Linked DNA regions of Kluyveromyces lactis. The protein of the gene in region 1 interacts with the protein of each later gene in a biochemical or structural test. Links are inferred from orthologs where the notes say so. Each region holds a gene or a part of one and is shown in the gene's direction. Other genes may lie near its edges.

Region 1 (3,521 bases):
CCGTGTCCTGTATTATATCTAACTCCCTCACAATTGGCATATATCCATGAATTCTAGTTCGTAATATATAATTCAGAGGATTTTAAGTGTAGATACCTCTGACCAGTTAACATCATATTTTGCCAAGCAGCCCATCTCATTGCATCTCATCGCCTGAAATCAACGCTCCAAATTCCTTTTGAAATTATATCTTCAACTAGATCAGTAGATTTTAAGAGTCACGTGAACTGTAAACATCAGTTCGCGTGGTAGTCTTTCCACTATCGTGTCAAAATTAGATCTTTGACCACAGCAAAAGTAAGGATAGGAAAGGGGAAGGAACTCACAGTTACGACGTAGAAGGAAATCAGAATTTTGCACGTTGTAGTCGCATTATTTGGCTTGCTAAATTTGATTGTTATTGCTCTACCCAATTGCGTTTCCCAGATCATTGAATTGTTTTTAAAACATCATGACACTTTACAAATTATTAACACCTAAAGCATTCGCAGAATTATTATCCAAGGAAACTAAGCGCCGTATTATCCCAGTAGATTCCACCTGGTATTTACCAAACTTGAACAGAAGTGGGAAGCAAGAATTTTTAGATGAAGAACGTCTAAAAGGAGCTGTTTATTTTGATATTGATGGTGTCAAAGACATGAAATCTGAATATCCTCATATGTTACCAGATCTCAGTACTTTCAATAAATCCATGAGTGAATTGGGACTGAAGAAGGATGATATTTTAGTGGTTTATGATAGAATTGGTAACTTTAGCGCACCTAGATGTGCATGGACATTAGCTGTTTTGGGACATGATCCCGTATATCTCTTGAACAATTTCCCTGCCCTGAAACTGTCTGGGTACCCCGTTGAGACTTCTAAAGTGACAAGTTTTACTCCATATGAAATGAGTGAATACGTGTCCGATGTTGATTTGGCAGAGAAAGAAACAGTTTCCTTTGAAGATATGCAGAAATTGGTGTCGACAGGTGATATTAAGAACTACCAGGTTTTGGACGCTAGAAGTCTTCAAAGATTTACTGGTGAGGCGCCAGAACCTAGACCGGGCCTCAGCTCTGGTCACATTCCTGGCGTTCAGCCATTGCCCTTCCTAGAGGTCTTGAACAGTGATAAAACTTTTACTTCAGATCGTGAGGAAATGCTAAAGAAAATACAAGACTTCGTCTCGCAAACCGGCAATGAGTTTGAAACCGATAAACCAACCATTGCAATGTGTGGTACTGGTGTCACAGGTGTCATAATCAAGACTGCATTAGAGATTTCAGGTGTCAAGAATGTCAGACTCTACGACGGGTCTTGGACCGAATGGGTGATGAAAGATGGAGAAGTGGCTAAAGGAAGTTAAGAGAAATACTTCGATAGAATGAGTGATTTCCCATACACTGAATGTAGGGAAGATGTGAAACATGCAGTACTACCTGAAAGAACAGTAGCTCTGCATCCCTGACACTTGAAAAGAACCCTGCGCAAATCAATAATTGCCCACAATTGGTTTATACTATATTTTCAGTATGTATGCTAGGAAAAATCTGTAATGATATATTGATCAAAATTAAAGTGTTTAAGTGTTAGAAAAGGTTTAATTAACATAGAACAAAAGGTAGATGAGCTGATAGCCCGACCATTACCACTCGCAGGAGAAGCTAGAAAAAAGGAAATGGAGTTTGTAGAATTCAGCGAGGTTTCTGAGACCACTAAGACATCGTCTCTTCCGCAGGGCCATGAATGGACCGTTCAAGTTCCAGCAGGATCAAAGCTAACAGTTATTGTGAAGTATGGGATCGCTGAGATACTGGGAACAGAGCTTGCCAACGATGTGCCCTACACATTCCAAGGTGTAATAGTGAACATCTATGCTATTGAACGATCTATGATCGAATGGAAGTGTTTAGAAGAGCTTGAGCCAAAAGTTTCGGAAAATAAGTCATATCATGCCTACATATACAATCTAAATTTTGCATTAGAAAGATTACGACTCTCTAGTTTCAATGGACCTAGAGTACTAATAGTAGGTAACGCCTCAACTGGAAAATCATCGCTAGCTCAAATGCTATGCTCATACGCGTTGAAGATTAGACATTATCAACCGTTGTTAGTGAACTTGAACCCACAAGATGGTGTTTTTTCTTTGCCAGGTTCAATTACAGCGACACCCATTTCTGAGTTGCTAGATGTTGAAAGTTCTATATGGGGTCAGAGTATTACTACAGGTGCTACCAAGCTCCATAACAAGCAACCTCTTGTTAAAAATTACGGCTTGGAAAATATCAGAGATAATAGACCACTATATTTATCGACGATTACACAACTAGCATCGGGCGTGCAACAGAGATTAAAGAACGATCCAATAGTAAGAAGGTCTGGCGTAATAATTGATACCCCTAAACTTTCACATCTTGACACCGAAGATTGGTCCGAAGTTGGCCACATGATAGAACAATTCGATATTAACGCAATAGTGGTATGTGCAGAAAGTGATGACTTAGCTATCGAATTGAGTGAAGTATTCAGGACTAAAATAGGATCAATTGTAAGAATTCCGCCACCAGGTTCAATTATCGCAATTGATGATATCATGAGAAGAGCTTTACAGAGGGTTCAAATAAGAGAGTACTTTTATGGTACCACAGAAACAGTCCTAAGTCCATACACTATGGGTGCTGGGTTTGAAGAATTAACAGTTTTCAGGCCAAGAAATATCTCTGAATATGGAGAGGATAAAAAGGATGTTGATCTAACAGTATTTGACAAAATTGAAGTCAACAGCTCAAACTTACAGCACGCTATTATCGCTATCACTAATATATCTAGAAAAGAAAGCCAAGATAAACTTAACACTGCATCGATAATCGGGTACGGTTTGATCACAGAAGTGAATGATTCAAAGAAAAAACTCAGGGTATTACTTCCAGTACCGAGTAGAATACCAGATAGAGCTATGATTCTCACCGAGTACAGATACTTGGAATGATTCTTACTTATAATTCTTTCATAGTCATTGTTTACATATTTATGAAAAATGTCAACAAAATCGGATACTTTATTTAATGATAGGATATACACAAATGCGAATAAGATACACCGAAAAGGAAACTAATATATAGAAGCATTAAGATTGCTGCTGAGGTTCATTATGACCGTCGAATTCCAAAAAATTAGGGTAGTAACTGGCTATGATCCGTATGATCTCAGCTGTGTGGCGTTACTCGTATTATATTGCCTAGGGGAAATAAACTTGTCCCTCCATAACATCACACGAATATTACAAATAGTTCCAAATGATGAACTGGATAGCGTTGGGCTTCCAACATTAGAGAATCTAGTTTTATATCTCCGAAAGAACGAGGATAGTCAAACTAAGGCTTCCTTTAAGTTGATCAATCTCATATTTTCTATCTCCAGTTTTAACCACATTCAAGAATTGATTCATCATTTAAGAGATGCAATAATAGTTTCTCCAGATCAACAAGGAGTCCTTTCGAAATTCAGGAGAATTTTATGTCGTTCAAGTGTGA
Region 2 (4,412 bases), on another chromosome or scaffold:
GTATACATTCCCTTAGCATCGCCACTAGGGAAATGAGTCTTTGGGTTGCAAACCTCTATCTCTAGAAAGTTTTCTGGCTCATCATAAATTGTTGCACCGGATAATTGCTTGTGAGTTGTATGTGAAAGTGTAGACTCTGCAGTTGTAGTAAATGATTGGAACTGTCTTTGGGGGCACATATTACCGAATCCATATAATCGTGGACCTTGCCCGATTAGGTTTTTCAAGGTATTATTCACTCTTTACCCACCTTCGTTACTTTGCAGGAATTGGTTGAGGTACCCTTCATAAATGGTCTTTTTTATAATGAAAAGCCATAGATATTATTTTCACAATCATATCCTTAAAACGATTTCAGGAAACCGCATAATATGCTAAGAGTGGATCTGTATTGAAATCGTACCCTGTTCTTAGCAGCACAGATCCACATGAAATCTAACTGATATTGTCGATGACACTTACCTCGAAACCATGGATCAACCGGCAGCTAATAATCAAGAGAACGTAACAAACGAACAAGGACCTCTCATGGATCTCGAAGAAGATGAAGAGATCGACGTATTCCATAATGTCGGCCAGGGACTTGCTGGCAGATACAGAGAAATTATGATACAGTATTGGCAGGAACTTATTAATGAGATAGAATCCACGAATGAGCCAGGTTCACAATTCCAAGACGACTTCAAATCGCATTCGTTACCACTAGCAAGGATTAAGAAAGTGATGAAAACTGACGAAGAAGTTAGAATGATTAGTGGAGAGGCTCCAATTCTATTTGCAAAAGCCTGCGAAATCTTCATCACAGAACTCACAATGAGAGCATGGTGTGTTGCAGAGGAAAATAAGCGACGTACGTTGCAGAAGCAAGACATTGCGGATGCATTACAAAAGTCCGATATGTTCGATTTCCTGATTGACATAGTACCCAGAAACGTTCAATGATCAAACCGCCAAATCATTAGCGTATAAAGTGAAATGAGAGAAATCAACACAATGCCCCACTTACATATTTCAACCGATTAGGCAGTTGACCTCTGAAAAATGCGACATCGGTGAGCTATGACATTATTTAGTTGTTTCTAGCAATATAGCATTATTAACTCACAAATTGTGAATTTCATGATCAGTAATATACAGTTCAATCGAAGTAAATGTTACAAATGTCATGTCAATTACTGTCTGAAATCCATAAATATTCTCGGGCAGGTTTGTACCATCTGTAGCTTTTTCTCTTTCACAGTCTCTCTTCTCTATAAGCACGAACATGAAATTGAAAAAAAAATTAAACACTAAGTTCAGATTTCGTTTTGACTATAAGAAACCACAAGTGACTGAAGAGCGCAGAAACAGCAAGAGCAAGTCAGACATAGCATCAAGCGTGGTTGATACTATAAACCGTGTGTTAAACTTTAAACAAAGCACCTCAACAGTCAGTACTTTTTTGTTTTGTTCCAGTGAGTTTTCAATCATCTGTTTGCTGAGTATAGAAAACTATGTCAACTTCTGTAGACCCTTTAGTCCAGTTGCAACAGGCAGCTGCGATGGCAATGCAGCATATGCCGGAACAAATGCTTCCTAAGGTTTTGGAGACCGGTATCACATTGTTTTTAAATGATAAGCGGAATTTAGGGTTCTCGAGATTTTCTACCCAGTTATTATTGGATATATTGGTTCATGATAAGATTCCATCAAGTGAAAAACCATTCATTGTATGTCAAAACATCACTGCGCTTTGGGAAATGGCTGAAACAAGAGATTATGTCACTTACAAAAACTGTATACTATGTCTTGGTAATATTTATGACCGATTATTTGATTTAGTAGCAAAGACTTCTGATGATAAACTTTGGTCGGTAATGTTAAAGTTTAAAGAACTTATCATTGCCAACTGGAAGACCTGCTATCCTTTGGATTTGTCTGACAATGATCTAAATAACCATTCAAGAGGAACGGGGGTAAAATTAGCAAGTGTGAAGCTCATTTCGAAAATCATTATTGTGCACACCTCAGGACCCGGAATTAGCGTGGGAAGTATACCAGAAAATCATCCTGTGATATCTAATAAGCAAGCGTTGGAGGCTGAAGCCAAATATTTGTTAGATAAATTGTTAACTTTTTTAATTGAGGAACCAATGATGTGTGCACCATGGTTCACAGGTGCTCTTCATAGTCTTTCTTTTATTATGAAGCAGAGACCATTGGCCACAATTCGAATCGCATCCGCTTTACTGAAATTCAACATTGACATGAAATTCCAAAGAGATGATGAACCCACTTTACAATACAGACTTGCAAAGCGATTTGTGGAACGTTGTTACAGAAATTTAGTTCAGTTCGGAATTAAAAGTCAACTACTCAAAAACAGTGGATCCATGACACAGTATAGAAACAAACTAGCTAAAATTTCACAGACTCTATTCGTTATTGGCGAAGAGACCAAAGCTAAAGGTATTCTAAATTATGATCCGGCTGCGATTGAACATAAAATGACTCCAGCTGATAAAAAAAAATACACTAGAGTGAAGGAAGTTAACGACTCTTCTTCAGATTCTTCATCAGGAACATTTTCAGCGACAACGAAATCTCCGTCTCCTATTCAAATGCCACCGATTGTTTCGCCAATGATAGGAAATACAATGATGAATACGGCATCTACTCCACCGTTACTGAATAATTTTCAACCTCAGATACATGCCCCCGTAAAGAACATACCTGCTCCTCCACCCCCACCGCCTGATCTTTCTGTATTGCAATCCCTTCAGAGTTATGCTTTCACTAAATCCACGACAAAGCATCCACATTTTTTGAATCCTGCTCATACCTCTGTCGATAACTCATATTCTGCCGTTTTTGCCTTAATGAACCCCGTCACCTCCGGATTCGATGTCTCGAAGTTGTCTCAAGATACCATGGTTAAAATATGTACTGAGGCTTTAAGTAACACAAACACAGGTACTGCCATTAATGGACTATCCATAGTTGCGTCCAGGTACACCGATTTGATAAACAAGTGGTTACAAAACAATGCTCAACAACAGAGCGCAACTATCTCCAACGATAGTAGTCCAGTCCCATTCAACAACAGTAGCCAAAGTCAAGCTAGTAAACGTCCCAGAGAAGAGAATTCTGCAGCTTTGCCAATAAAGCAAGAAGTTGCAATGAAAAACGAAGAACCTTTACAGCAGCCTGCGGACGATAGGTACGTAATTGATGATTCAGCTCCTATACAGCCACCAGAAAGCAAAAGGGCAAAGATCGAAAGAGTGGAAGATGCAGAACCATCAAGCAGTCATACAGTATCCTTGGGTGTTCCAACTTTAACTTATGATGAGAAGTTGACTCACTTGCAAAGAATTGTGCAGAATATATTACTGATACCAACTAAAACTGATGTGAGCACTCCAATGACACAATTACAAAGTACAAATCCATTGGACAAAGTTCTACTAATGAATTGGGACAATAAGACCTCCTGGGTATTCTTATTATCTAGACTCTGCTCTAGAGGAGTGTCATCGAATCAAGATGTGAGAGATATTGTCACCAACGCAATTTTTGACTACTTCTGTGAGGATTTCCAGAACAGAATCACGCTTGTACTTGAATGGCTAAGTGAAGAGTGGTACCATGAGGAATTGATTTCCGATGGTAAAGATCATACCATATATAATGAATGGTCAGTAAAGGTGCTAGATTTCATGATCCCCAAACTTGATGACTCCCACAGAAGATTGTTTATTCGAATGGTCAGTGAAATGCCGTTACTTACTCAAGAACACATCGAAAAGATGAAATCACTATGTTTAGATCCTACTAGATCGGTATTGGGGTTCCAGTCTTTGAAATTCATGTTGATGTTCAGACCTCCAGTGAAACCGTTCATCAAAGTTGCCCTCGAATCTATGGCTGAAGTAGACGAAAGTATCAAACCACAATGCGATTCACTATTGAACAAGTATTTTTCCTGAGTAAAGCTATTCTGAATCAATGTAAACCCTGATTTCTAAATTTATATATCTATATACTAGCCGTCGAAGATATTGCAATTTGGTTGCGTTCCAAAAGCAATATGTAAGGAGAAACTTACTACTTTCCTATCAAACCGTCAACGAATAAAAGAGAATCATAGCTCGCTAATGCCCAATAGGTTTGGCTGAAATTCCACCATGTATCAGTCACTTAATGAGAAATTTGAAGTTTTCAAAAATATAACCTTTTAGCCACATTATCGTTAAAACATATAGTTAACGCACGCACAGCACGATCTCATCTCGTTCTCGTTTCCCTTCGAAACAAAGGACACACACAGAGCTTCTTTGAGAAAAAGAAATGAACTAATGCCGTCTCGCTGAAATTTGAAAAAAAAAATAATTTCAACATCGCTTCTTCTTGAATATGTTTTCAGGAATCTA

What was found.
Region 2: the proteins of CLP1 (region 1) and PTA1 form a complex in vitro, tested with the Saccharomyces cerevisiae proteins (2 studies listed by BioGRID). The link is inferred for Kluyveromyces lactis from reciprocal best matches to the Saccharomyces cerevisiae genes CLP1 and PTA1.

The regions. Positions count from the first base shown.
Region 1 is NC_006039.1:859,962-863,482, forward strand, and holds CLP1 (cleavage polyadenylation factor subunit CLP1), read left to right. Parts: upstream 1-1,663; coding exon 1,664-2,977; downstream 2,978-3,521. Other genes in the region: TUM1 (thiosulfate sulfurtransferase), read left to right, coding at 452-1,351; APC5 (anaphase promoting complex subunit 5), read left to right, coding at 3,140-3,521. UniProt on the Saccharomyces cerevisiae protein: Component of the cleavage factor IA (CF IA) complex, which is involved in the endonucleolytic cleavage during polyadenylation-dependent pre-mRNA 3'-end formation. Associates with HRB1/CF IB to form the cleavage factor I (CF I) complex.
Region 2 is NC_006037.1:330,595-335,006, reverse strand, and holds PTA1 (RNA-processing protein PTA1), read left to right. Parts: upstream 1-1,493; coding exon 1,494-3,968; downstream 3,969-4,412. Other genes in the region: SNX3 (Snx3p), read right to left, coding at 1-179; HAP5 (Hap5p), read left to right, coding at 472-942. UniProt on the Saccharomyces cerevisiae protein: Essential in pre-tRNA processing. Component of the cleavage and polyadenylation factor (CPF) complex, which plays a key role in polyadenylation-dependent pre-mRNA 3'-end formation and cooperates with cleavage factors including the CFIA complex and NAB4/CFIB.